Macaca mulatta: one gene and its partners. The protein of the gene in region 7 interacts with the protein of the main gene of each other region in a pairwise test. Links are inferred from orthologs where the notes say so. Each region holds a gene or a part of one and is shown on either strand. Other genes may lie near its edges. The genes, in order: KNSTRN, RANBP1, PSMD4, FUS, STX18, MPHOSPH6 and NUPR1.

Evidence for each region.
Region 1: the proteins of NUPR1 (region 7) and KNSTRN interact in a two-hybrid assay, tested with the Homo sapiens proteins (2 studies listed by BioGRID and IntAct). The link is inferred for Macaca mulatta from reciprocal best matches to the Homo sapiens genes NUPR1 and KNSTRN.
Region 2: the proteins of NUPR1 (region 7) and RANBP1 interact in a two-hybrid assay, tested with the Homo sapiens proteins (2 studies listed by BioGRID and IntAct). The link is inferred for Macaca mulatta from reciprocal best matches to the Homo sapiens genes NUPR1 and RANBP1.
Region 3: the proteins of NUPR1 (region 7) and PSMD4 interact in a two-hybrid assay, tested with the Homo sapiens proteins (2 studies listed by BioGRID and IntAct). The link is inferred for Macaca mulatta from reciprocal best matches to the Homo sapiens genes NUPR1 and PSMD4.
Region 4: the proteins of NUPR1 (region 7) and FUS interact in a two-hybrid assay, tested with the Homo sapiens proteins (2 studies listed by BioGRID and IntAct). The link is inferred for Macaca mulatta from reciprocal best matches to the Homo sapiens genes NUPR1 and FUS.
Region 5: the proteins of NUPR1 (region 7) and STX18 interact in a two-hybrid assay, tested with the Homo sapiens proteins (2 studies listed by BioGRID and IntAct). The link is inferred for Macaca mulatta from reciprocal best matches to the Homo sapiens genes NUPR1 and STX18.
Region 6: the proteins of NUPR1 (region 7) and MPHOSPH6 interact in a two-hybrid assay, tested with the Homo sapiens proteins (2 studies listed by BioGRID and IntAct). The link is inferred for Macaca mulatta from reciprocal best matches to the Homo sapiens genes NUPR1 and MPHOSPH6.

What each region holds. Positions count from the first base shown.
Region 1 is NC_133412.1:17,693,251-17,697,515, reverse strand, and holds the start of KNSTRN (small kinetochore-associated protein), read right to left. Parts: upstream 2,801-4,265; 5' UTR 2,685-2,800; coding exon 2,476-2,684; intron 2,295-2,475; coding exon 2,200-2,294; intron 1-2,199. UniProt on the Homo sapiens protein: Essential component of the mitotic spindle required for faithful chromosome segregation and progression into anaphase.
Region 2 is NC_133415.1:32,563,616-32,567,684, forward strand, and holds the start of RANBP1 (ran-specific GTPase-activating protein), read right to left. Parts: upstream 2,801-4,069; 5' UTR 2,667-2,800; coding exon 2,652-2,666; intron 2,158-2,651; exon of another isoform or gene 2,016-2,157; coding exon of another isoform or gene 1,995-2,015; intron 1,286-1,994; coding exon 1,149-1,285; intron 1-1,148. Other genes in the region: TRMT2A (tRNA (uracil-5-)-methyltransferase homolog A), read left to right, coding at 3,384-3,407, 3,682-4,069. UniProt on the Homo sapiens protein: Plays a role in RAN-dependent nucleocytoplasmic transport. Alleviates the TNPO1-dependent inhibition of RAN GTPase activity and mediates the dissociation of RAN from proteins involved in transport into the nucleus.
Region 3 is NC_133406.1:115,828,943-115,833,130, forward strand, and holds the start of PSMD4 (26S proteasome non-ATPase regulatory subunit 4), read right to left. Parts: upstream 2,801-4,188; 5' UTR 2,763-2,800; coding exon 2,737-2,762; exon of another isoform or gene 1,765-2,736; intron 1-1,764. UniProt on the Homo sapiens protein: Component of the 26S proteasome, a multiprotein complex involved in the ATP-dependent degradation of ubiquitinated proteins.
Region 4 is NC_133425.1:29,823,030-29,827,134, forward strand, and holds the start of FUS (RNA-binding protein FUS), read left to right. Parts: upstream 1-1,305; 5' UTR 1,306-1,381; coding exon 1,382-1,394; coding exon of another isoform or gene 1,395-1,398; exon of another isoform or gene 1,399-1,784; intron 1,785-3,553; coding exon 3,554-3,578; intron 3,579-3,668; coding exon 3,669-3,838; intron 3,839-4,105. UniProt on the Homo sapiens protein: DNA/RNA-binding protein that plays a role in various cellular processes such as transcription regulation, RNA splicing, RNA transport, DNA repair and damage response. Binds to ssRNA containing the consensus sequence 5'-AGGUAA-3'.
Region 5 is NC_133410.1:8,530,425-8,533,924, reverse strand, and holds part of STX18 (syntaxin-18), read right to left. Parts: intron 2,422-3,500; coding exon 2,306-2,421; intron 427-2,305; coding exon 349-426; intron 184-348; coding exon 117-183; intron 1-116. UniProt on the Homo sapiens protein: Syntaxin that may be involved in targeting and fusion of Golgi-derived retrograde transport vesicles with the ER.
Region 6 is NC_133425.1:77,533,023-77,537,322, forward strand, and holds the start of MPHOSPH6 (M-phase phosphoprotein 6), read right to left. Parts: upstream 2,801-4,300; 5' UTR 2,791-2,800; coding exon 2,740-2,790; intron 1-2,739. UniProt on the Homo sapiens protein: RNA-binding protein that associates with the RNA exosome complex. Involved in the 3'-processing of the 7S pre-RNA to the mature 5.8S rRNA and play a role in recruiting the RNA exosome complex to pre-rRNA; this function may include C1D.
Region 7 is NC_133425.1:28,259,732-28,263,062, forward strand, and holds NUPR1 (nuclear protein 1), read right to left. Parts: upstream 2,133-3,331; 5' UTR 2,053-2,132; coding exon 1,941-2,052; intron 1,340-1,940; coding exon of another isoform or gene 1,286-1,339; coding exon 1,149-1,285; 3' UTR 1,136-1,148; intron 806-1,135; 3' UTR 501-805; downstream 1-500. UniProt on the Homo sapiens protein: Transcription regulator that converts stress signals into a program of gene expression that empowers cells with resistance to the stress induced by a change in their microenvironment.

The DNA of each region.
Region 1 (4,265 bases), on a different chromosome or scaffold from region 7:
CTGAAAGGTGGAGGCTGTAAAAGTGAACATGGAGATGGACACCAGCAGAGAGCAGGGTGGAAGTAAAACACGGCTGAATCCTTGTACCATCTCGTTAAGCAACTCCAAGCACGCTGCACACTCTCCTAAGGCATGACTGAGCTGCTCTGAGTTTTTTTAAATTGTTACTTCGTTCTTTTTCCCAGAATATCTTCCTAACCACTCTAAGACATCTTTGTGTCCCCATCACCTAGAAGAATATTTGGCATATGAACAGGGGTTCAATAACTGCTTGTTGAATAAATCAAACACTTCACAGTTGCATAGGTTGTTTCACAGACCATCTCTAAACCACCTGTCTGGTCCCTTCCTCTTCCATGCTGACTGCCTCTACCACCAGCTCTTTCGTTTACCCTTCGTTAAGTTTAGAGTTTCGCTATTAGGCATTCTAATCTGATCTTCTTGCTAGATAACCAGAGAAATGGCCCTGCCATAACACTCTTCTTCCCCAAAGGTGAGAATTTTCCTTCATCCTTGTGCCAGCTCCCCAACCACACAGTCCATCATTCATGTTCTACAGCAAATTCAAGTAACTTATCTGGAGTTAAAAGCACCCCCACCCTCACACGCAGGCTTTTCTGGACTCATTCTCACTTTGTTCACTGTAAAATGGCCCCTTTAAGCTTGACCTAACTTAAGAGCCATTACAATCAAATCAAATTGAAGAAATGCGGTACAAATGAGGTATTAAAAGGGTTCTTTTTGAGGTGTCTGTCTGAAGTAAAAAGTAACCTTGGAGAAATATCATCTCCTCTCTCAAGTATTAGCAAGTTATAAACAACAAATCTACTCCATGTAAAATGGAATTAACAGTCGATTGATCAAAATTAACACTCTTCATTGACTAGAATTGGTTCCAATAATTCGTATTTGCTAAAACCTAAGGATTGCAATGTAGGAAAAACTTAGTAGGATTTCACAAAGCTGTCTCCTAAAAATGGGAGACACTGGGAGGGGAACTGGATGGCTGGTGTCAAGGAAGGGAAGGAAACTTGTTTATCATTGTATATGGTTTTCCAACTTTTTTTTTTACATGTGCATAAATTACTTATCCAGCCCATGCTCAAAATCAAAACAAAAAACCTGGGAGGCAGCCTAAAAATTTGAAACTGTTCCAGTTACATATGATCATAAAGCTGGGACAGAGATGTAAACCCAAGAGATGAACACTCGCAGCTTGGCTGAGAGAGCTAGTCACTGCCCACTGACTGAGGGCACTGCATCTAAGGGAAAGACACAGCAAGCAGCTGAGACCTGGCTCCAGTTCTTCCAGCAACTCCTAGTCCCCGCTGGTGCCAGGATTACCATTCAGGTGTTCTGTGGCTACACAAGACAACAAACAACCCATTAAGCCTTTGAAGAAAAGCCTATTTACTTCAGAGCTCAATCCTGCCAAGGTTTATGTACCAGCTGTGTGGAATCATCTGGGAAGAGATCATAAATAGCTACTCCACAATCTCCCGCAACAGTTTTCTGATGTCTGAAGCTTATTCTGTACTATAATCTCTAGATTAGGCAGTTTCCCGACTGCAAACCCCATGAGATGACTTTGAACCACAAGCAAAGCAACACAAAGCAGATGGCAAAGCAATTAAAAACTCTATTTTTAATCATGTCTGTCTCTTCGCCCAAGTTTCTCAAATACTTTGCCTAGGTCTAACCCCTCTCTCCCACTTCACTCAACAAACGTGTATTGAGAATGTGGTAATTCTCAATAATTATCTCGAGAAACACGGCGCAGATGTAAAGGTGAACAAAGAACCCTAAGCATTCCACTTCTCAAATGATTCTCCTCTTTCCTCCCTGAAAACAAACCCAATCCCTCAAGATGACCCAAGTCTGGAAATAAGACGGATAACCGGTTAGAAGGGGATTCCTAGCTTAATGGGAATAACATTGTACAATAACCAACAACTTAAATCTAACTGATGAATACAGTACATACGCGGGCAGAAAAATGCAGAGCAGGTCTAAAATCCTACCACATGGCCCTTCCCCTAACTCCCATCATAAACCTACACACCCTGGTTATAGGGCGCTCGCAGGTTTTCAGGGCCGGCGGGACACCCTCCCAGTGCCCACGCCACCCATTGGATCTCCACACTCCCGGGACCATCCCCGGCCGGGCCGCAGTGCCCCGGGCGCGGCGTGGGCACTCACCTGCGGGCTGGCCGCCGCTCAGCGCAGAGGCGGGCTGCAGGCTATACACTGTCTTAACCACACTGGTCATCGTAACGAGGCGGCACGGCTGAACTCTGGAAGGTACAGGATGAATGTTACCCAGCGCTGGACTACTGGGCCCGAGAGTGGTGGGCTTGGGGATAGCGCGACCCGACAGGCCTCGGCTCGGGGTTGGAAAAGAGAAAATCCTCCTTTCCCAGCTCTTTCCGTCCTTCCTCCCATCCAGCCCAGTCCCTCGCCCCGGGAGAGCCGAACCCAGGAGCCCGCCGGTCCTGCCCGCAGTCCTTGTCGCTCTCTTTCAAAAGATGCCCTGAAGCAACTGTCGCGCCGCCTGCCAAGTTGGCCGCCTCGGTTTCAAATGGAAACTTCCGGTAGCTGGGCGGAAGTGGGTGGGAATCGCACTCCGTAGAAAGCCATGTTGTACGGAACATTCTGTTCCCTGGCGGGGGTTCGGGAGCCGCCATGCTGTACGGAAGGTTCGCTCGGAGGCCAGAGGCAGACCTAGCGAAAGGTGTTGGAGCCCCCAGGTCTGGGCGGAGGAGGAGGGTGATGCAATTTGTAGGCTTGAATGGAGCTAATGAGCTACCAGCGTCATATTCCGGGATGGAGACGCAAACGTGGCCACATTAAGGGTCCGTGTCACAATCCTCTTTATTTAGTTTGGGATTGTTAGGGATATTGCCAGGAGCACAGGTTATTTGGATGAAAACTACACATTACAGGAGGAGAGTGGCAGGTGAAGCTTGAAGAAAAGGACCTATGGGCTGAGATACCTGAGGCACCTACCTGAGGTCCTAATTTTAATAGTACTTACCCAGATTTTAAGTAGCGATTCAAAGCTACTCCTAATAAACAGGGTAGTTTGCATCATTAAATGCACTAGTTCATTCATTTCATCCAGCATTTATTGAGCACTTCCTGATTACCCAACAGTGTTCTCAGTGGGTGGGAGGGACTGAGGGAGAGCAAATATCAAGATTGACCTTGGCTCTGCCCTCCTGGAGTTTACGACTTAGGAAACAGACAGTGAACAAATAATCACCTGAATAAATATATATTTACGGATTGTGGTGAAATTGTGAAGAAGGCTGGCCGCAGTGGCTCACAGCTGTAATTTCAGCACTTTGGGAGGTGGAGGCGGGTGGATTGCTTGAGTCCAGGAGTTCAAGAACAGCCTGGGCAACATAGTGAAACCCCATCTCTACAAAAAATACAAAAACTAGCTGGGCGTCGTGGCATGCTCCTGTAGTCCCAGCTACCCTGGAGGCTGAGGTAGGGGGATTGTGTGACCCCCGGGGGGCAGAGGTTGCAGTGAGCTGAGATTGTACCACTGCACTCCACCCTGGGTGACAGAGCATGATCTCAAAAACCAAACCAAAACACACACACACACACACACACACACTCACACACAATGAAGAGAAAGTACAAAATCCTATAAGATAGAAAAGCAGGGAAACTTAGATTATATTGGGGGCTCAGGGAAGACCTCTCTGAGATGATGTTCGATTAAGGAAGGAGGAGAGGGAGTTAATCATTGGGGAAAGGGGAAAATGCAAAGTCCCAAGGCAGAAATGGGTTCTTCCCTAGGCACAGAAAGATAGGAAGAGAGTGGTACAGATAAAACTGGAGAAATAAGAAGTCAAAAGACAAATTTTACAGGCTAAGGTATAGAGATTAGATTTTATCTAAAAGTAATGGAAAGTCACTGAAGCATTATAGCAGGAGAGTGTCATCCAATTTATATTTTATTTTACTGTATTTTATTTTTTTGAGACAGGGTCTCACTCTGTTGCCCAGGCTGGAGTGCAATCATAGTTCACTGCAACCTTGAACTCCTGGGTTCAGGAGATCCTCCCACCTTAGTCTCCTGAGTAGCTAAGACTAAAGGTTAAAGGTGCATGCCACCAGGCCCAGCTACTTTTTGTAGAGATGGGGTCCTGCTATGTTGCCCAGGCTGGTCTTAAACTCCTGGCCTCAAATGATCCTCCCACCTCAGCCTCCCAACAGACATGAGCCACTGTACCTGACTCAATTTATATATA
Region 2 (4,069 bases), on a different chromosome or scaffold from region 7:
CACGGCCACCCAGTGGCTTCAGGGAGATGTCCATCACGCTCTGTGACCAAAGGGTGACACACAGCTCTCCTTTCCCAGGTATCCCTCCTGGCCCCTTTCCTTAGAGAAGAAACTCACAGTAGGAATGACTCTCTGGTTCCCTCTCCCACCCCAGAGCAACCAAACCTTAACCTGTACTCTTAAAGCTACTTCAAGGGTGGGGGGTTCCGTGAACTTGAACAGGGAAAAACTACAATCTCATTTCACTACGGTGTGTAACTAAACATGATGTTTGTTGCAATCCTGAGTGTAGGCGACAGGCCAGTCTCTGCAGTGCTGTGACGCTGTCACAAGACACAAGGCTGGTATCCACCACTGCAAATAGCTCTTAACTGAAAGTGTCAAGAAGCACACGTACAGAATCTTTTCAGGTGTTTTTGATAACTAAACCATCACCTATTTTCACGTGTAATTGCAGTATTACGTTGTGTATTAAGGGTGGGCCAGGCGAGGTGGCTCACGCCTGTAATCCCAGCACTTTGGGAGGCTGGGGCGGGCAGATCAAAAGGTCAGGAGATCGAGACCATCCTGGCTCACAAGATGAAACCCCGTCTCTAATAAAAACACAAAAAATTAGCCGGGCGTGGAGTCCCAGCTACTTGGGAGGCTGAGGCAGGAGAATGGCGTGAACCCGGGAGGCGGAGCTTGCAATGAGCTGAGATCACGCCACTGCACTCCAGCCTAGGCGATAGAGCGAGGCTCCATCTCAAACAACAACAACAACAAAAACACCGGGTGGGGGATTTATAAGCTTCACAATGCCAAAGAACTCTGCTGCAAAAAGTTAAAATCCCCTGCTCAACCAAAGGGACTCCCTGGATCCTCAGAAGCCAGTGGCAAGAAACAGCAGTGGGGCCGCCATGTCAGTGAACAGAGCAGCAATAATGGGATGCCCTTCATGCAACTGGCTGCAGGGCAGCAAGGGCACCTGGTGAAGATTCATAAAAGCAATGGGTTAAATTTCCACATGGGATTAGTCATCAAGCAACTTTAGGCCCTTTCTTTAAAGAACCTCAGTCTGATTAAAAGTCAGGCCAAGACCTTAACACCCAAAAAAGCTGTAACTTCAACCTTAAAGGGTCCTATTTCTGGGACATCAGATTACTTACATTTTAAAAAGTTCCTCTTCATCTTCTTCCAGCGTTTTAATTTCTTGCTCAGGAAGAGAAACTATTGGCTCAAACTGAGGGTCATGGTTGGATTCGTCTGTATTCTCAGTGGAAGTATCATGGTCCTCATGAGTGTCCTGAGGAAATACAAAGAGGTTACACTGCTGGCCTATGGATCCGGCTCACAGCCAGAGCCCAACCAGTGCCTGCAGTGGTCTGCCCCCCGACAGTGAAGGGACTTCAGCTACAAGGATGGGCTCCACCCCAAAGCAAGAAATTAGGCCCTCTCTTCCACGCTAGGAAAGGTTTGCATTTACGCCCAGCTCCATACACTCAGTGCATGAGCCTACAGCGAGACACCCGAGTTTGGGGCCCCTCCCCCAGATTGACAGACATCAGTCAGATCTGTGCACAGACTGATGGTGGGCCCTACAACTCCGCCAGCACTTGCAGAGTGGCCTGGGAGTAACTGCCTCATCTCTTTGAGCATCAGTTTCTTCCTCATCCATAAAATGCAGACGATACCTGCTGTGTGAAGATCAAAGGACACAATGATGGGTCGAAATAGATTTTGAAATGTTACTTTAAAGCAAAATGTAACTATTTCAGCTTTTACTAATTAGGAAATAGTTGTGCTCTTGCTTACTAGAATGAAAAAAGTCGCTACAGGACTGGTAGTATTTACATTGGATTCATAGCTCTGCCAGCAATTTTTTCACAGTTCAAGAAATTAAGTTAGTAACTAGATAAATTGTACCGGTGAAAGTCATGAAATCCTGACCCAATTTAGAGGATAAGAGAGCACCAATAATCATATTTTAGGTTCGAGTCTTCCAGAACACGTGCCTTGGTCACCCAGAAGTCCATAAGAGACCTAAGACTTCACCACTAGACTCAAACTGGAAAAGAAAACATAAGCTTTTCGCTGCTCTTCTGTGTTTCCCACAGCACTGCGGCTCTGCAGCGGCCCGCACTCAACCATACACCTCAGCCAACAAAGCCGCCGCCCGGGTCGGCGCGTCCAGGACCTGTGCCCCACGCTGGAACGCGAGCTTCTGCCACAGAGGCCAGAGCCGGTTCCACACGTGAGAACCGAATGAATGAAGTGCTGCGTGGGCGACGGAAGGAATAAATGCACCGTACTAGTGGGAAGCCCCAAGTGGGCCGAGCCGGAGGAAACCCGCCGCCCGCACCAGTTCCCGGAGGCTGGGGCCGCCCCGCGTGGCGACGGCCGCCCCCAACCCACCCCAAGGTCACGCGGGCGCCCTGCAGCCCCCAGGCCTCTGCAGAGCCTGCACCCCCAGAAGCCCCAACTCCGCAGGCCTCGAGCCCCCAAACCCCACGCGTCCCGACCCCGCGCCACCGAGGCCCAGCAGACGGCCGAACCTGCAGGCCGGCGGGGGTTGGTGGCTGCTGCGCGGGCCGCCCACGTGGCCGCTGATAACGGCCCCGGTCCCACCGGCCCCGCCCGCCCACCCTGTCCCCGCTTGGGCCAGGCCGCACCTTGGCGGCCGCCATGGGGGCGCGGCGGCGGCGGCGGCTCGGCTGGGTCGGTCGTCGCTGGCTCCGCGGCCTCTGGGCGGCTACTCGTAGCTCCTTCCCTCCGCGTCTGGCGCCGGCGCCTCCCGCCCGCCCGCTCTTCCCTCCGCCCCGCGACCCGAACCTCGACCCCTGACCCCAGCGGCGGGAAACGCGCCGCGATTCAAAACCAGTACAGCTTTATTGGCTCAGGCGGCGGACACTCTCATTGTCCGGCCCGCCCCGCGCTTCCCGCCAAAACGCCCGTGGCGCATGCCCGGCCCGCCCGTCAGCCAGAGGAGCGCGCATTCCCGGCGACCCCTGCGCGCACTTCCGTCCCGGCCACGCGCGCCCCAAGAGCTGGCTAAAGTGGTTGGAGCCGGCGCGTGGCTATGATGTTGCAGGAAGTCAGGATCATAGAGACGCTCGGCCTCCGCGGCACGCGCTGGCGGACTAAGAGTGGCTGGCGAAGCGTGCGGCCGGCGCGGGCCCCTGGCGGGCGGGCGGTGCAGCCCGAAGCCTGAGACCAGGACCTGAGCACCGCAGGTTCGAGTACCGCCCCATCTGGGTCGAAGCCGGGGCTGGCGGCGACCTCGCGGCGTTGCACTGGCTCTCTGAGCACTTCCCCTCTGAGCACTTCCCTTGTGACAGGCCCAGGACGAGGTGACCAGGCGGCCCCCGTGGCACCCCTGGTCTAGGCGGAGAACCGCCTGAACGATGAGTGAGAACCTCGACAACGAGGTAGAGTGCGGGGAGACGCTGGGTAGAGACGGGGATGGGGTGGGAGGAGGCGGGGTGGGGCAGGAAACCTGCCAGAGAATAGGTGGGGACGAGGAGGATGCGATGGGGGAGGAAAGGAGACGGGAATGGGGTCGGGAGGGTAGAATGGGGGAGGGGAGGGGCAGGGTTGAGTGCAGAGTGCACCGACGGAGGTTTGGGTGTGCCATAGGGGAACCTGGGGGGCCAGGCCCCAGGGTCTAGTCCTCACCGTAGCACCCCATCTGTCCCCACACAGGGCCCAAAGCCCATGGAGAGCTGTGGCCAGGAGAGCAGCAGTGCCCCGAGCTGCCCTACAGCCTCGGTGCTCCCTGCAGACCCGGCAGCCCTGGAGGAGGTGGAGAAAGAGGGCGCTGGAGCAGCTACAGGGCCGGGGCCTCAACCTGGGCTCTACAGCTACATCAGGGATGACTTGTTTACCTCTGAGATCTTCAAACTGGAGCTGCAGAACGTGCCTCGCCACGCCAGCTTCAGCGACGTCCGGCGCTTCCTGGGCCGCTTTGGCCTGCAGCCCCACAAAACCAAACTCTTTGGGCAACCACCCTGCGCCTTTGTGACATTCCGCAGCGCTGCAGAGAGGGACAAGGCCCTGCGAGTTTTGCATGGTGCCCTCTGGAAAGGCCGCC
Region 3 (4,188 bases), on a different chromosome or scaffold from region 7:
CAAGACTCTGTCTTATAAATAAACAAACAAACAAACAAACAAACAAGCCATACTGCCCAAAGCAATTTACAGATTCACTGCTACTCCTATCAAACTACCAAGGACATTCTTCAAAGAACTAGGAAAAAACTATTTGAAAATTCATATGGAACCAACAAAGAGCCGGAAAAGTCAAGGCAATCCTAAGCTAAAAGAACAAAGCTGGAGGCAACTTTACCCAACTTCAAACTACTACTACAGGACTACAATAACCAAAACCACACGGTATTGGTACAAAAACAGGCACAGAAACCAATGGGACAGAATAGAGAGTCTAGAAATAAGGCTGCACACCTATGACCATCTGCTCTTGGACAAAACTGACAAAAGCAGTGAGGAGAAAGAGTCCCTATTCAATAACTGGTGCTGGCATAACTGGCTAGCCATATGCAGAAGATTGAAGATGGACCCCTTTCTTAAACCATACACAAAAATTAACTGAAGACGGATTAAAGACTTACTGTAAAACTCAAAACTATAAAAATCCTGGAAGATGGGCTGGGCACAGTAGCTCACACCTGTAATCCTAGCACTTTGGGAGGCTGAGGCAGGTGGATCACCTGAGGTCAGGAGTTTGAGACCAGCCTGACCAACATGGAGAAACCCTGTCTCTACTAAAAACACAAAATTAGCTAGGTATGGTGGCACATGCCTGTAATCCCAGCTACTCGGGAGGCTAAGGCAGGAGAATCGCTTGAACCCGGGAGGTGGAGGTTGCGGTGAGCTGAAGGTTGCAGTGAGCCAAGATTGTGCCATTGTACTCCAGCCTGGGCAGTAAGAACAACAACAACAAAAAAAAGTGGGCAAAGGAGCCAGGCGTGGTGGCTCAACACCTGTATTCCCTGAAGTTTGGGAGGCTGAGTCGGGTGGATCATCTGAGCTCGAGTTTGAAACCAGCCTGGCCAACATGATGAAATCCCGTCTCTACTAAAAATACAAAAAATTAGCTGGGCATGGTGGTGGACACCTGTAATTCCAGTTACTCAGGAGGCTGAGGCAGGAGAATCACTTGAACCCAGGAGGCGGAGGTTGCAGTGAGCTGAGATGGCACCACTGCACTCAATCTGGGCAAGAAGGGCAAAACTCCATCTCAAAAAGAAAAAAAAAAGTGGGCAAAGGACATGAACAGATATCAGATACTTTATTTTTATTTATTTATGTATTTATTTGAGAGGGAGTCTCACTCAGTCGCCCAGGCTGGAGTGCAGTGGCACCATCTCGGCTCACTGCAACCTCCACCTCTGGGGTTCAAACGATTCTCCCACCTCAGCCTCCGAAGTAGCTGGGACTGCAGGCGCCCACCACCGCGCCTGGCTAAATTTTGTATTTTTAGTAGAAACAGTGTTTCACCATGTTGGCCAGGCTAGTCAGGAACTCCTGACCTCAGGTGATACACCCACTTCGGCCTTCCAAAGTGCTGGGATTACAGAACTGAGCCACCGCGCCTGGCCACTTTTCAAAAGAAGACATACTATACGGCCAACAAGCATATGAAAAAGACCTCAGTATCACTGATCATTAGAGAAATGCAAATAAATCAAAACCACAATGAGATACCACCTAACACCAGTCAGAATGGCTATCCTAAAAAGTCAAAAAAGAAGCTGGCAAGGTTGCGAGAAAAGAGAACACTGGTATACCGTTGGTGCAAGTGTAAATTAGTTCAATCATTGAGAATCACTTGAACCCAAGAGGCGGAGGCTGCAGTGAGCCGGATTGGGCCACTGCACTCCAGTTCGGGCGACAGAGCGAGACCCTCTCAAAAAAAAATTATTCATCGTTTATCTGAAATTCAAATTTCACTGGGCATCCTGTATGTTACCTGGCAACGCTATGCTCCCCCAAAAAACTAAAAAGACGAAATCTCATAGGTGTCTGTCTCACCCAATTGGTGATTTGTGTTCGTCAACTATTCTGTATTACATTCAATGATTACAGGTAGAAGGAACTCTTGCAATCCTGCAAAAATTTATGTCCTCCCCATCTAATGTGACTCCTAATAGGTACTCAGCCCAAGCCTGAGACTGGCGAAGACAGCTACCTCACCGGATAAAGCCTTTGTGTCAGACAGCCCTGGGTTTAAATCTTGACTCCACCACTTAACTAGCTGTGTGATTTTGGACAAATCACTCAAAATCGCTGAGACTCGGTATCCTGAACCGTAAAACGGAGAGATAATTTACCTTAAGGTGTGGTTGTGAGGTTTAAGTGAGATAAACAAAATGACTGAGACATAAAAAGCAATCTGTAAATGGTACCTTTGAAGATGACACAGGGAAAGGTAATGAAGTTAGAGACGAGGGAATGGGGAGAGGAAGGGATTAATAATCTATTTTTCTAATAGACATTATTTTGCGAAGAAAGGAGGGCAGAAAACTATTACGATGAGTCCGAGAAGCAGAACTGTGGCTAAGGACAGACCCGGGCTGCTCTAGAGAAGACGGCGCTAGAACAGAGAAAGGCAGCAGGAATGACCGGTCAATGACCGTCCCCCTGGGGGTGAGAGGGGTAACCAGGGACTGTCTGCCACTCCACGGCCCCGGGATGACTCAGGGACTCCAGCGGGCTCCTAACCTCCGGGCCCAGGGCCGCCTCTCGCCCATGAGCTCCCGGCCCCCACCCCAGGCCCGCCCTGCCTTGGCGCCACACGCGCCCGGGACCCAGCTGTGCCCCTCCTGCCCCGAGGTAGCTCCTCACCACACCATAGTGCTTTCCAACACCATCTTGCCACCTTCCTCCCTCCCGACCGGTTCTCCAGGACGGCCTAACAACAACTCCTCCAATTGGCCCATCGCTCTTCACCAATCACAGACCTCGGCTTGGCCAGCAGCTTCCGCCTCCGTCCCCCGTGTTGCGTTCTGGGAGTTGTAGGCGCCGCCAAACAAATGGGCTTCTTGTGGGTAGTTGAAGGGAATCGCGGTAACACAACAGGATCTAGCCTCTACTTTCCCTGCCATTGCAGTTCCCAGTTGGGGTTTCCCGCTGGCCGGATCTCAGAGGAGCTATGGAGGAACCTTTGAAAGTGCTGTGTCGGTTCCAGCTTCGTCATTTTAAAAAAAAGTGTCGGGATCGGCCGAGCGCGGTGGCTCACGCCTGTTATTCTAGCACTTTGGGAGGCCAAGGCGGGCGGATCACGAAGTCAGGAGTTCGAGACCAGCCTGACCAGCATGGTGAAACCCTGTATCTACTAAAAATACAAAAAATTAGCCGGGCATGGTGGCGCACGCCTGTAATCCCAGCTACTCGGGAGGCTGAGGCAGGAGAATTACTTGAACCCGGGAGACGGAGATTGCAATGAGCCGAGATTGCACCACTGCACTCAAGCGTGGGCAACAGAGTGAGACCCCATCTTAAAAAAAAAAAAAAAAAAAACTAGCCAGGCATAGTGGCGGGCGCCTGTAATCCCAGCTACTCTGGAGGCTGAGGAAGGAGAATCGCTTGAACCCGGGAGGCAGAGATTGCAGTGAGCACAGATCACGCCACTGCATTCCAACCTGGGGGACAGAGTGAGACTCCGTCTCAAAAAAAAAAAAAAAAAGTAGAGATCACTAATGACTTTCTACAGCCTTCAGTTCCCTGTAGAATTTTAATTCAACAAGCCCTTATACCTTTGAATTGAATTTATTTGTATATTTATCTCCTCCCCCATTTAACTAAGGGTAGGCAACGTGTCTTTTTTTTTTTTTTGAGATGAAGGAGTCTCACTCTGTCACCCAGGCTAGAGTGCAGTGTCTCGATCTAGGCTCACTGCAACCTCTGCCTCCTGGGTTCCAGCGATTCTCCCGCCTCAGCCTCCCAGGTAGCTGGGACTACAGGGGCGTGACACCATGACCGGCTAATTTTGTATTTTTAGTAGAGACAGGGTTTCACCATGTTGGCCAGGCTGGTTTCGATCTCTTGACGTCAGTTGATCCACCCGCCTCAGCTTCCCAAAGTGCTGGGATTACAGGCGTGAGCCACCACACCTGGCCAGCAATGTGTCTTAATCTTTACAATTCCCTAAGCCCAGTAGAGAGCCCAGAAAAGATTTGACAACTCAATTATATTAACTAATCTCCCAAAGAACAAACCACTAAACCATTTTGGTTTGTTAATCAAAAATTACATTTAAGGCCTGATGCAATGGCTTAGGTTTTATAATCCCAGCGT
Region 4 (4,105 bases), about 1.6 Mb from region 7:
TTGCTGGGGGGGGCCCAGGACATGGCCCTCATTGTTTCTCTAGAAGGAAAGGTCCAACCCTCAAAAGACCTTCCGGAATCCCGCTGAAAGTTAAGTTGGGAAGGAAAACCTGCATGCGTATGTATCAGGAATTAACGTCTTTTGTCTTGCTTTGTTCAGTAGTTTCAAATTGCCTTCTCCAGGCAAGGCTGATGAAAGTGCAAGTTGCAAGTTAATTTGAATTTTTCTTTCTGCTTTTGCTCTCACAGGAAGTGGAAAGGCAACCAAACACTCTAGCATTCATGCCACCAAAAAGAGGTTTTGCAGTTACAAGACCTGGATTCGAATCACGACTCCTCTTAGCTGCCCTGTAATCAGGCACAATTACTTGGGTCTCTGAGTCTCACTTTTCTTATGTAGAAAACGGAGATATGTTTACCTCCTTCGTAAGACTGATGAGAAGGAAATTATCTGTGCATTTTGAAACCACTTAAGCCTTGTACACGTTTTATTTCTGGGATCGCCACTGGTTCCCTGGTAGGGCTTCAGAAAAATAAAAAGGAGGTCCCTGAGCAAAGGCTGGGGGGCCCTTCATCTGAGGCCAACCCTCTCTTGTCCCAAGGATGGCCTGGACTGCTCCGCCCCGCGGCTCCCCAGGGGCAAAGCCGCGAGGGTCCGGGTGAGAGCCCAGTGCTGGACCAGCTCGGCGCTCAGGGGTCCCGGCCGAAATCCCTGCTGTCTTTCAGGTCAAACGTCATAATTCCCGAACCCCAGAAAGGCCGAAAAGCAAGGCAACCCCGAAAGACGACGAAGTCAACACCAGGGCGCAGGGCCAGTGTGCTGACGACGAGGGAGGCTGGAGCCGCGGGGACAAGGCGCCCCATACAGCGGCAAGAGGGCGGAGGGCAGGAGCTCGCCGTCCTGGGTGAAAGCGGGGCCCAGCGAAGAGGCCCGGCCACAGGAATGTCGGTTCCACCCCGCGACTCCCGGCGGTGACTCCAGTTTCGTCCCCAGCCGCCCGGCCCCGCCCCGCCCCGCCCCCAGCGGGCACTCAGGCCGTACCACTGTGCCTTCATGGGGGTGGAGTTAGATCGTGGGCTAGTCCTGCCGAGGAGAGAGGGGTTCTTCCCCCAAAAATATCATTATGTATAGTATTTGCATGATTCTAGTTAACTCGTTTCCCATCTGCATGCTCGGAACCTCTACCTACGCTAGGAAGGGGGCGGAGCGCTTTCCTGCCTCCCCCTGCTCTTCCGCGTTTGGTGCGCGCCTGCGCGGTGCGTAGGCGGCGGGACCTACTTAAGCTTCGACGCAGGAGGCGGGGCTGCTCAGTCCTCCAGGCGTCGGTGCTCTGCGTTGTTGGAATCTTGTTGCTTGCTTGGCTGTGCGCGCGTGCGCCGACATGGCCTCAAACGGTAGGTAAGGGCGCGAGGCGGCGGCGGCGTACCGGGCCGAGGCCTCCCACCTAGGCTTTTCATTTTCGGTGGGACCGGGGTGGCGATCCTGTGTGGGATTCTTTCGCGCCCCTGTGGCGGGAAACCGCGGAGAGGGGTAACTGGAGGAGGCTGGTGTCGCCATTTTGTTTCGCTCCTCTGGCCCTCGCGCGCGGGGCGGCAAGTCTTCTCTTCGCAGTCCGTTTGCTTGGGGTGGTCGTTGGGAGGGACGCTTCTTAGGGGCTTGAAGCATCAGGTGAGGGTGGAAAATGCCCGGTTTCCGTGGCCTCGCCTCCCCCAACTCCCGGCCCCGCGCTCAGGCCCGCTTTGTCGCAGTGCTGCATCCGGGCACTCGCGGTGCGCACGCGCTCTGCGGGCCCCTCCCCCTTCGCGGTGCGGGTACCCCTTCCCCGCCTCGTGTCGGTTCAGCTTTTTGTCGCGAGACCCTTCGCGGAAGACTTGGCGGCGCGCGTCCGGTGTGAGCCTTGTTCCTCTGGTCTTTCGCGAAGGGGCGGGACAGCTCCATTCCCGCCTCGGTTGCCACGCGGCTGGGGGCGGAGGCTCGGTATCTGGGCCGCGCTCCGGCTTAACGGTTTGGAGGAGGTGGTCGTGGATCCACCAACGGACTCGGTGACCTGGCCCGAGAGTTTTTCCCGCCCCATTTTTTTTTTTTTTTTTGAGTCAAGATCTCCCTCTGTCGCCCAGGCTGGAGTGCAGTGGTGCGATCTCAGCTTGCTGCAATGTCCGCCTCCTGGGTTCAAGTGATTCTCCTGCCTCAGCCTCCTTAGTAGTTGGGATTACAGGCGCCTGCCACCACAGCCCGGCTAATCTTTGTGTTTTTTAGTAAAGACGGGGTTTCACCATGTTGGTCAGGCCCGTCTCGAATTGCTGGCCTCAGGTGATCCGCCCTTCTCGGCCTCCCGAAGTGTCGGGATTACAGGCGTGAGCTTCCGCTCCTGGTCTAAATTTCTTTTTTCTGAGATTGGGACGGAGAATAACAGCCGTCGAGGCCACACCCTCTCCTGGTCCTTTCCCTTTTCCTGCGGGGGAAGCGCCGCGTTTCCTGCGCTGGGAGGATGAGTTGATCTTGTTCGTGTATTTAAAGTGGGGCGTTTCAAAAGGGCTTTCGTTGCTTTTGGTTCGCCCGGGGGAAGGCAGGGTAGATGAGAAAACAGAACCATCTGGAGCCCCACGGCTGGGGACTCGAGTACCTGTTGACTTTGGCCTCTTAAGGCGAGCACTTGGATGATCTCTGTCATTTGGGGTCCAAGGGCTCTTGATTCTCTGGCTTTGCACTAAAAAGCCCACTACTTCTCCGGAATTGGTCAAAGAGTGAAGAATGGCCTTTTTTGAGACATTCTTCTGTGGGTCTGGGCTGAGAGAGTAGAGGCCACAATCTGAACACTGCTCGAATTCAAACCTGTGCTACTTGGTAGCTCTACGACTTTGGGAGCGAGTTAGTCTGTTTTGACTCCTGGCAATAATGGCTTTGTCATAGAGTGGATGAAGCGAATGCGCGATGTTTTAGAGCAATCACTGACATGAATTGGTCTTGCAGAAAGTTGTGGCTGTCCACCAAGACCTTGGTTTTTCCAACGGTTAAGGCTTCTGGGACTCTGTAGAAACTTGCATTTTCTTCACTTTTTCTTTTTTGTAAGAACACTTGGCTGATAGGCCAGTTTGCTACTCTTCTCAACCAGTGTCTCAATGGGGGAATTTTATGCCCTTTATTGAAACGTGATGCTTTTTTTTTTTTTTTTTTTTTTTTTGAGACGGAGTCTCGCTCTGTCGCCCACGCTGGAGTGCAGTGGCGCGATCTGCAACCTCTGTCTCACGGGTTCAAGCGATTCTTCTGCTTCAGCCTCCCAAATAGCTGGGATTACAGGCGTGCGCCACCATACCCGGCTAATTTTTTGTATTTTTATTAGCGATGGGGCTTCATGTTGGTTGGAATTCCTGACCCCAAGTGATCCATCCACCTCGGCCTCCCAAAGTGCTGGGATTATAGGCGTGAGCCACCGCACCTGGCCTGTGTGGTCCTATTTATTCATCAGTGCTTGAGTTAAGGAATTTAGCTTTAATTCAACTGTTTCAGAGTGGCGGCTGAAGATAATATGATTGTATTTTTTTTTTTTTTGCAGATTATACCCAACAAGCAACCCAAAGGTGAGTGCTGTTTTTGGGCTTCCAGAGTTTGTAGAGGGGAAGGGTGGTCAAGCTGTGTTTTCTGATCACGCTGGTTTTCCTTTCATCTAGCTATGGGGCCTACCCCACCCAGCCTGGGCAGGGCTATTCCCAGCAGAGCAGTCAGCCCTACGGACAGCAGAGTTACAGCGGTTACAGCCAGTCCACGGACACTTCAGGCTATGGCCAGAGCAGCTATTCTTCTTACGGCCAGAGCCAGAGCAGTGAGTCTTTCTCAGCAGGTCACCTCTTCCTGCTCTTTCTGAATATTGCTTTTCTTTTTTTTCTTTTTCTTTGGGAGACGGAGTCTCATCCTGTTGCCCAGGCTGGAGTGCAATGGTGCTATCTCAGCTCACTGCAACATCCGCCTCCCGGGTTCAAACAATTCCCCTGCCTCAGCCTCCTGAGTAGCTGGGATTACAGGCACCTGCTACCACGCCCTACTGATTTTTGTATTTTTAGTAGAGATGGGGTTTCACCATGTTCGATAGGCTGGTCTAGAACTCCTG
Region 5 (3,500 bases), on a different chromosome or scaffold from region 7:
GCATTTTGTGAAGAAGTTCAAATATGGTAAGTTGCATAGGGTAAGTGCTCTACAAACTTTAACTGCTATTATTAGTAGTACTATTATTAAGAAACACCAATGAAAGCAATACTTACAATCTTTTCTTATCCACCACTCTTTTAACTCGGATGGCTCTCTGTTCTGAGTAAAGTTTACAGACTCCTGTTGCAGGGGAAAATACCAGAAGAAAGACTGCTTAAAACAGCTTCTCAGGCAAAGGCATCATTAAATATAATGAGACACTACAGTCTTCAGCTAGCAAAGCTAAATTCTGCATCACATCTATTGTGAAATGCCACATTTGACCTTTAAAAGAAAATGAAATACTTTTTAAGTAATCTTCAATGAAATCCAAAACAGCAGTCCTGTGTTCCTTCACTTGCTGGGAATGTATCTCCTTGTGAGCTGTAACAGAAAAGGACAATGTTCAGGTCTTCGCATTCAATTATCCTAAAGAGCAATTCATCAGCTTCCTCACAACACTTTCTTTATTGAGAGTATTTTTTAAAACACAGCTATAAAACAAGTCTTGTGTCAAGACACTACATTTTTAGAAGAGTAAGATTTATTAGGCTTCACAAGAGTGAAAGATTAAACCTGTAGAAAAACTATAGTCAAATAATTTATGGTTTATCAGAACACTTAAGGATAGTATTTGATGCAGCCACTTCTTGAATGCTGACCCCCATCTGTGTTAACAGCATCCAATGCTCAAGCTGACCTTCAGGGAACATGTTTAAATAATTGAAATCACACACTCCTCCCTGCCTGAACCTGTGCTGCTTTTCAGCCTTTGGTGCCCCATCCTCTCCCCCAGGCCACTCACATTCTGAGGGTCCCTTAGACAATGAGTCAAACTTTCCGTCTCCAGGAAACCTTCTATGACTCCTAGCCACACAGATGCCCTTCTCCTGGGATCCACCACACAGAAATGTGCTAAAAGGCCTTACCAGACCTGAAGTCTGTGCCACTGGTTTTGGTAAGACAGTGACCACTGACTGAGAGATTGACTGCCTACTGTGTGCAGGTGCTCTGCTAGCACTTTACATATGTACTGCTAGTAACTAAAATAGCAATTCCGAGTTTCCTCATTTCACACATGAAGAAATTAAGGTTCAGAGGCAATAAATAGCCCAAGGTTAGATGGTTTCATATGTAAATGTAGGTTTTGTTAATATTCCTGTGTATTTTTTAGGTCTCTCAATGAATATATATGCCCTTAAGGGTAGAGGGCATGATTTCTGTCTTTACTATAGGGCTGCCTAACCCAAGATTCATGTGGGGGACTCAGGAGCTCTGTGAAATTGCATATAGAATTTTGTGTATGTACATTTTTCTGGCAAGAATGCCTATTGCTTCCATCAGAGTCTCCAAGTGGTCCATCAGCATTCTAATAAAAACCTCCCAAACAGAGGTCTGTGTTGTGAGCACAACAGCATCTGGCAGCTTTGAACTCTACTTACTATTTAATGTACTCTGTATCTGCCTAAGCAAATTAAAAAAGAATCAAGAAAGAGGCGTGACTTGGGAAGCCATCTCATTGTCTCAGTGAGAATTAAACATCAATGAAAGTGAGATAATAAGCACCCTAGTGCCAGATATGGTTCTAAGCATGCTGTAAGAATTTAACTTAATTCTCATAACAACCCTAGAGATACATCTCCTAATTGTCTGCATTTCATAGACAAAAAACAAGGCCCAGGGAGACTAAGTGACTTGCAGAGGGCTATATGACTCGGACGGGTGGAGTTGGGGTACCACCTAGGCAGTCCTGGATCCAGAGCCTTCCTAACCTTGAAGGTTTGATAGGAAAGTTTACTTGAATATTACAAGTAGAGAGCTTAAGTACCCCGGGCTGCTGTCAACCCCTATCCCACTAAATGCCACACAGAACAGAGGCACACATAAGCATACACACATACACACCCACACACATACAATTTGCCACACAGAACAGACGCGCACGTGGCGTGCACGTGCGTGCGCGCGCACACACACGCACACGATTTGTCTTCACTGTCCCTGGCCCCTAGGTAAAGTTTTGGTTCTGTTTGGAGAGGTCCTTTCCATCTCCCTGCTCCCATTGGTTTAACTTGAAAGATGCAGCCTTTTCAGTACTTTTAACAGCTTTGGTTAAAACACTGATAAGAAAGAAAAGATTTTAATGTTTTGAAACCTAAATCAACATAAGAAGAGAGAATTTTAACCGGCCACACCATATGAATTCTGTTTAACTACCTGCTATATTCATGGTTGCACGTTTGCATCTTTCAGAGCACTTTACCTTCTGTTCGTAGTTGTTGAATTGCTTCTGAACAGGTCCTCATGAATATCTGGGCATCCTGGTCTATCTGGTCTCGTTCTGTGTCTGTCATCCTCCCATATTCAGACATGGTATGGCTAAAAAAAGACAGCAAAGGAAAGGGCAGCAGCAAATGATAACATAATATAGTCTGAGTGGGATGGGAAGAGAAGAAAAGGCCTCCCTCATCAAGTGACATTTAAGCTGAGACTTGAAGGATGAGAAGGAACAGGCCAGGTGAAAAGGTGAGAGAACCATCTAGATAGATAGATAGTAGAACTAACACATATGAAGGGTGTGTGGTAGAAAACCCTCCGGAATAGACCCAACTGACGTAAGCCAGATGGGGAAAGGGAGAGAGAGAAGGAGCGTGGAGTGAGGGCTGCAGCATAAGCTGGGCTATGAAGAATGTAGGCTCTGCTTTGAGAGCAATGGGGCAGCTACTGAGGGGTCTCACACCACACAATGACCGAATCAGAGGGTGGAGGGTGTTCCCGAAACATTTCAGGCACACTCCCACCTCAGGACCTTTCCATGTGTTGGTTGTCTCCTCCTCTGGAATGTTCTTTCCCCAGATAGCTGCATCAATGGATCCCTTACTTCTTTTAGGTGTTTACTCCACGTTGCCCTCTGAATGAGGCCTTCCCTAATCCTTCTTTACAAACTGTCCCTTCCCTGACATCTTCTATCCCACTTCCCTTCTTCCTTCCCCACAAAGATACTTATCCCACTCTAACATTCCATATATTTTGCGTAATCATTTCTTTTCTTGCCTGTCTCTCCCCCTTGTAAAAATGTAAGTTCCACAAACGCAAGGACTTCTGTTTGTTCACTGCTGTATCCCCATCATCAAGAGCAATGCCTAGCATTTTTAGTAGGCTGATCAATTAATAAATCAGTAATCAAATACTTTTGAATGAACTGAACAAATGAATGAGTTGGAGAATGTGCTTGATACACAGCTACGATTGTGCTGTCTAGTAAGTTCCTCCTGAACCAATTTTTTCCCCCACCTCAAGACGGGTAGGCATGCTGTCCCAAAGCCTTCTCTAGGAAACTTCAGGCACAAACAAACAGGGAATACATCCATCCTGAGGACAGGCCCTTCTAAAAAAGAAAGGGGTGAGATGAGCACAGAGTCCTCACTCCCAATCACCTGATAAGCATCCCCTCCTCC
Region 6 (4,300 bases), about 49 Mb from region 7:
AACACACTCCAAAACCAGTGGGGACTCACAGCAGGCAACAGCACAATATGGTCCTCAGGCTAGATGTCCGTTGTTGTTGATACAGCCATGGTCATCCTGTCCCAAACAACACTGGCAGAGCTGAGTAGTTGTAACAGAGACTGTCTGGCTCATAAGCCCAAAATATTTATTATATGGTCTTTTACAGAAAGCTTGCCAAGCCCTGTTCTAAAAGTCTAACAGTACTAAAATCACAAATAAGCACCCTTTCTACAACCATTCCATACTGGAAGACCTTCCATCCACATCTTTCTTTTTCTGCTTCCCATCGGGATCATCCTGCAATGGCTGACCAAGTCAAAGGCCTTCAAGTGAGTCAGGATTAAATCCTCAACCCTCTCATACTTGCCCTAAAAAGTGGTCCCCAGGGATGGGTTTCCTGGAAGACAATTTTTCCATGGGTGGTGGAGAGGGGAGGGGTAGATGGTTTAGGGATGATTCAAGTGCATTACATTTATTGCGCACTTTGTTTCTATTATTATAATATGTAACGAAATAATTATACAACTCACCATAATGTAGAATCAGTGGAAGCCCTGAGCTTGTTTTCCTGAAACTAGACAGTCTCATCTGTGTGTGATGGGAGACAACGACAGATCATCAGGTATTAGATTCTCATAAGTAGAGCTCAAGGTAGATCCTTCATAGGTGCAGTTCACGGTAGGGTTTTTGATCCTAGGAGAATCTAGGATTCTGCCACTGATCTGGCAGGAGGCGGAGCTCAGGTGGTAATGCAAGCTATGGGGAGCAGCTGTAAATATAGATGAAGCTTCACTCGCTTGCTGCCTGCTGCTCGCCTCCTGTTGAGCAGCCCGTTCCTAACAGGTCATGGACTGGTGCTGCTCCGTGGCCTAGTGGTTGGGGACCCATGTTATATAGGACTTAGCTCTGGTTAAGGCACCCTAAGTGCAGCTGTTCCATGCCTTCTCACAGTATACTCTTTTCTATCAGTATAGATAGTGTCTCCTGCTATCTTGCCAGTAAGTTTTTTCTCATCAATGACCAAAACTGCTAAACCAAATACAGAATCTGGGTGATCTTTTTCCTTCTCCTTTGCTTCCAATGTCCAGTTGCGTCTCCCCATTTGGTGGGAGTGGACACTTGTTTTAAGTTAATTTCTTCCTTCTTAGTTGCAACTCAGATATTTAGTTTGAGCCTGAGTCACCCAGTACATCATCTGGCTTATTCCAAGAGCTAAAACAACTGCTAAAATCTTTTCAATATCTGCTTGGCCAGTTCACTCCACTTCTCTGAAATTAATGTTATTACAAATCATAAAATCAAAAGCAAACTCTGTTCAGTAAAGATTCAAATTTTCCTAATATGCATGAAAGTGCTTGACAAACTCTAAGTTAGATGTAATTTGTCCTGCATCCTCATTCACCCATTCATTCCTAATTCCATCCTAGCTCAACTCCATTCAAATCTTGCCCATGTAATGTTTACTCTCTTTTTTTTTTGAGACAGGGTCTCCCTCTGTCACCCAGGCTGGAGTGCAGTGGCACCATCTCAGCTCTCTGCAGCCTCGATCTCCCAGGCTCAAGTGATCCTCCCACTTCAGCCTCCCAAATAGCTGGGACTACAGGTGCGTGCCACAAGGCCCAACGAATATTTTGTATCTTTTGTAGAGATGAGGTTTCACCATGTTGCCCAGGCTGGTCTTAAAACACCTGGGCTTAAGCGATTTGTCTACCTCAGCCTCTCAAAGTGCTGAGATTACAGGCATGAACCACTGCGAATGGCCTCTCTCTCCAATCTTTCAAAACATTATGAACGCTTCCTTCCTTCTTTTGGAAATTCGACCTCTTTAAACATGACATGTAACAGTTTGCTACCCTCTATAAGTAGTGCTCAGTGACAGGCATCACAGAGTAAGTAACACAGAGCCAGGGTTCTGGAGCAAGACTGCCTGAGTTCCCGTCCTGTCTACACTACTTATTAGCTGTGCGACTTTGAGTAAGTTACTTATTTCTGTTTCAGTTGCCTTAACTGTAAAAAGAGAGTTATTGCCTGTAGTCACCTCAAAGTGTCATTATGTGAATTGCACAGGTTAATATACGCAAACCCCTTAAAACATTGTCTAGTACTATAAATAGTTGCTATTTTTTTATACTGTTCCCCGTGTCAATAGCTTTCCATTGCTCACAAAATAAAGGAAAATATCCTTAATCTGGCCTCAAATTTCCTGCACGTTGTGACCACTGCCTACTCTGCAACCCCATTTCTTAGTACTTGCCTTCCAGACATACTGAATTACCTCTCATTCTTGGAAATCTCCATGGTTTTCTTTTTCTTTCTTGCCTCGTGGACTTCTGAACTCAGGTTTCTCCTAGTTTAGGACGCTGTGCCTCCCACCCTCCCAGGAACCTAAAGGGACCACTACCCCGCGAGAAGCTGGGTGAGTTCCCAGGGCTCCGGCGCTTCTACCCTCACTGCACTTGGTAAGCTGTACCCTGACTGCTTGCTCCTGTGTATGCGAGCTCCCATCCACCCGTGGGCCTCCTGAGAGTCGGCCTAATTCGTAACCCGGTTCCCAGTAAACAGTGCAGAGCAGGCGCTAAGTGAATGAATGAGCACGAGAGCTGGAAGCCCTCTGAGGCCCCTCTGGTGTCCCTCGTTCGCCCGCCGCCTCGGCCCTGGCCAGGTCGGAACGATCGGGTGCCCCTATCGCCCGGCATGGCTCTCTCAGTGTCCCCGCACCTTCATGCGCAGCAGATTCTTGGACAACTTTGTCTTCCGCTCGGCCGCCATGGTGGCTTCCGCCCAGCGCCGCACTCCGGCCGCGAGCCTCACTGCACATGCGCGGAGCCGCGTGCGCAGCTGCGTCGCTCTCGTAAAGCGCACCGCCCCGCTCCGCCCCGCGGCCCCGCCGCTGCGTGTCGCGCGCCGGCGCGGCCACTCAGCGGGCGCTCTGGTGACTGAGAGGCTGGGGTAAGCGCGCGGCGCGGTGGCGCGGGGATGAGCGCGGCAGATCCCAAAAAGGCCAAAGTCAGAGGAGGACCCAGAGCCTGGCTTCCCCGAGCCGGGGGCCGCCTTCCCGGGACGTCGGCCTGGCCCCCTCGGGGACCCATCCTCGCTCAGGGACTCCCTTCCTCAGAGACTCCCTTCAGACTCAGTAGTCCTCGCCAGCCTCACAGGTTTGCGTCACGCGTGCCACCCGCCTGGGTCTGGTTACCCACGTGTATTGTTTTCCTAACGTGGATGGCGGGCTTCCTGTGTTCTGGGTCCCTGTGCAGGGGCCAGGTCGTTTGCTCTTCACCAGGACCCTACGAGTTGCTGCTTTCCTTACAGCAGCCCTGAGTCCCGGGGAGCGTGGCGGGGGCCACCCCAGGCGGGCTGGCTTCATCCCCGGGCTGCTGCCGGTGCGTGTCTGGCCGAGTGATCCCTGCTAAACAGAAGAATCTGAAGAAACTGCAAGGGATGGAGGCAGGGATGGGTGCCAAAGACACCTGAATGAGAAGAAGGCTTGGTTTTGATCTAAAGAATTGAAAAGACCAGCCTGGGCAACATAGTGAGACCCTATCTCTACCAAAAAAAAAAAAAAATAGGTGGGTGTGGTGGCACGGACCTGTGGTCTCCATTACTTGGGAGGCTGAGGCTGGAGAATCACTGGAACCCGGGAGGTCGAGGCTGCAGTGAGCTGAGATCCCACCACTGGACACCACCTTGGGCTATAGAGCAAGCCTTTGTTTCAAAAACAAAACAAAAAAGAATTTTAAAAACCACTGAAAATAGAGTGGCATTCATACCCTGGTGTTTAATGCTCTGGGTACCAACTAAACACGTTTTCAAAAATCATTCCCAGGTCCGACGCTTTGGAACACCCTCAAGCTAATAGCATTTCAGCTGATAGCATAGATTTTATGTCAGATTCTTGACCTGGTCACCTTATGGGTAATTAGTTCGCTTAATCTCCCTAAGAACCGGAAAGAAGGTATTGTCATCGTGTTGTTAGGAATTCTGAGACACAGAGCGGGTAAGGGACTTGGTGGAATTCACACAGCTAATCCATGTTAGAGCTGAAATTCAAACACCGATTTGGATGTTAAAAGCCCTTGAGGTTTTCCCAGGAGTAAATAAAATCATTGTAATGTACTAAGTGGCTACGGAATCTTATTCACTTGTGACTGTGTGTGAGATGCCGGGGTATAATAGCGTGTAAAAACACCTATCCTCATCTTTCCTGAAGCTGATATTCTGGACATAAGTAAGTGGTGACTGCCGTGAAATAGAGGAAACAGTGTTGTGACCCCTAGAGTAA
Region 7 (3,331 bases):
GGTCAGGCTAGTCTCAAACTCCTGACCTTGTGATCCGCCTGCCTCAGCCTCCCAAAGTGTTGAGATTACAGGCATGAGCCACTGCGCCTGGCCCTGGCCTTTAATATTTTAAATCTCAGTTTTCTCCATCTTTTAGATGGCATCCATAAGTAGCATTCCCGTCTATGAACAGGACATAATCAACAAAAACAGGCGCTGGGGAGGGCCGTGTTTCATGGGCAGTATCGCAAAAAAGCAGAAGAAATTGTTTTCCACTACGTAGGAGCCCACAGAAAAATGTATGCACTAAAATATATGCAAGCAAAAACAAACGAACCAAAAGCCACATTCACAGCGTAGACCCCTGTAAGAGCAGGAATACTCCCTGCCCCAGATACATATACCAAACACTAATACACACCAAAGATGCTCTCCCGGGCTCATGCATGTGCAGGCACAGGCAGGCACACACGTGCCCGAACAAAAACACAGAAAGAGCAAGGATGAAAACACACCCAAGCTGTGGCTGCCGTGCGCGTCTATTTATTGGTGCTGCTGCCCTAGAGGAGCCCCAGCTTCTTCTGTAGCTTTCTTTTCTGGGGGTATCTTCCTGGCTCTGCCTCTCCATTCCCTTCCTCTCACTCCCCATCTTGCACTTTTGCTGGGGTTGGAGGTGCTTTCCTGGTAGCCCCTCAGAGACTCAGTCAGCGGGGATAAGTCCCAGGGGTGGGGGGTGTGGCAAGCTGGCCTGGATCCTGTCTTGGTTCTTCCTTCCTCCGCAGTCCTGTCTCCATTGCTGGGTGTAGTGTCCATGGTCCGGCCTCATCTAGGGGGCGAGGAAAAGCAGGTGATGAAAGGGACAGAGATCTGGGTTCTAATTCTGCCTCTCCCACTTACTTGATTTGTGACTACAGGGAAGGACCCACCCTCTCCAGCCTCAGTTTCTGTCTCTGTAAGTCAAATTTCCCTCCAATTGGAAAGGTTCTGTGTTCCCCTTTGCTCTGGCCGCTAGAAAACAGCCAAACGTGTGTCTCATTTTATTCTGCATTGAGATAACAGTTGTCTGATCCCTCCTCCCCACCCAACCGCGCACCTTCCGGCTGTCCTTCATGGCAGAGGCGCCACCTTGAGCTCTCTGGGCCCCCCGACTCCTTACCTCCAGCTCTGTCTCAGCGTCGTGCCCCTCGCTTCTTCCTCTCTGAATTCTGCAGCTTGGTCACCAGTTTCCTCTCGTGCCCGCCAGGGCTGGGGCGGTTGGTGTTGGCAGCAGCTTCTCTCTTGGTGCGACCTTTCCGGCCTCCACCTCCTGTAACCAAGGCAGGAGGCAGAGGTGAAGTGGGCAAAGGCACGATGAGACGCCCTGTCAGAGGAGAGGCAGGGGGTTGGAGTTGCGGGGATGGGAAGAGCAGGGGGAATTCTGCTGCTTCCCCTCTGTGGAATGTGGGACCCCAGATGTGTGTGAGGTCCCAGGCTGAGTAACACAGCACTCTTGGGATAAGGGACTAGACAGGGGTGACGTGAGGGTCCAAGGAACACGTTGGCTAGAAAACGGTGAGTGGGCTGGGCAGGGTGGCTCACTCCTGTAATCTCAGTGCTTTAGGAGGCCAAGACAGGAGAACTGCTTGAGCCCAGGAATTTGACATCAGCCTGGGCAACATAGTGAGACCCCACCTCACCACTACAGGTGGTGCACACCTGAAGTTCCAGCTACTCGGGAGACTGAAGCAGGAGGATCACTCGAGCCCAGGAGTTTGGGGCTGCGGTGAGTTGTGATCACACAGCTGCACTCCAGCCTGGGTGACAGAGTGACTCTCTCAAAAAAAAAAAAAAAAAAGAAAGAAAGAAAGAAACGAAGAGGAAAGGAAAGGAGAGGAGAGGAAAGGAGAGGGTGGGAAGTCTATGGAGGGGTCCTGATTTCGGGAGAGGAGGAAGGACCGTGGAGATGGCCGAGTGGGCCTTACCCAGGTAGGAATGGGCCAGGCTGTAGAGGTCAGATTCATCCAGGCTGGGGTCCTCGTCCTCTGGGCCTCGGGGCTGCTGGGGGGCGCTGGTTGCTGGTGGGAAGGTGGCCATCGTGCCCGGCTTGTCCTCCCTGCCTGTCTTCTTCTCCTAACGCTTTGTCTTTCTCTGCTTTCCTGGCCCCGTGCCTCTCCACTCCCAGTCCACTCCCTCAGCTTATAAGGCTGTGTCTCCTCCTCAGACCACAGTCTGGCTCCAGCCCATCAGGCCCTGTCTGATGCAATCTGGCCCCTTCTCAAAATCCAGCCCAGTAAACACAGTCATGAGACGGGAAGAGTTGGTCCCTGAGTCCGGCCCCACTCACCTCCTGCCTCCCAGGCTCGCCCAGCTGGATATTTTCCACAGAGGAGGTCCCGCTTCTCGGCAGAAAGCAGGGAAGAGGCAGGATCTGAGCTTAAACACTCCTTGGGATCATGGCCTCACCTGATCGAGGGCTTCACCTGGGCCTGGGGTGATGGCCACATAGCTAACCCCAGCACGCCAATTCTCGCTGAGATGCAGGATGTGAGGAAGGAGGGGGAGGGGATATCAGCACACTTGTGCCAGGGACAAGTCAGCGGCTTCCACCCAGTCACACTCAACATCTTGTTTTTTTCTTTTTTTTTTTTTTGAGATGGAGTCTCTGTCGCCTGTCTGGAGTGCAGTGGTATGATCTCGGCTCACTGCAATCTCCTCCTCCTGGGTTTAAGCAATTCTCCTGGCTCAGCCTCCCCAGTAGCTGGGATTATAGGCCCCTGCCACCACGCCTGGCTAATTTTTGTATTTTTAGTAGAGATGGGGTTTCACCATGTTGGCCAGGCTGGTCTCGAACTCCTGATCTCAAGTGATCTGCCTGCCTCAGCCTCCCAAAGTGCTGGGATTATGGGCATTAGCCACACCCTTTTTTTTTTTTTCTATGAGAAACATCTTGGAAAACCCCTTCATATCCTGAAACAGGGTCCCCAGTAATGTAATCTCCCTCACCTAGGAGGAGGGCGGCAGAGGGTTGGAGAGTTCAGGGTCTGGAGCCAGATGCCCTCGGTTCAATCCCCTGACCCACCACTTTCCGTGTGACCTTAGGTGGGTCCCTTTACCTCTCTGTGCCTTGGTTTCCAATTCTGTAAAACAAGGATGATAATAATTGTATCTTCTTCCTAGAGTTGGGGAGAGGATCAAATGAGATAATGTTTGCAAGAAACTTGCCACAGTGCCTGGTGACAGAGAGAGACCCTGTCTCAAAAACAAATTATTATAAAATATTATGTATTTCAAAATATGTATTTCAAAATATGGATTATACTGAGGCAGAAGACATAATGAGGTCAAGCGCAGTGGCTCACGCCTGTAGTCCCAG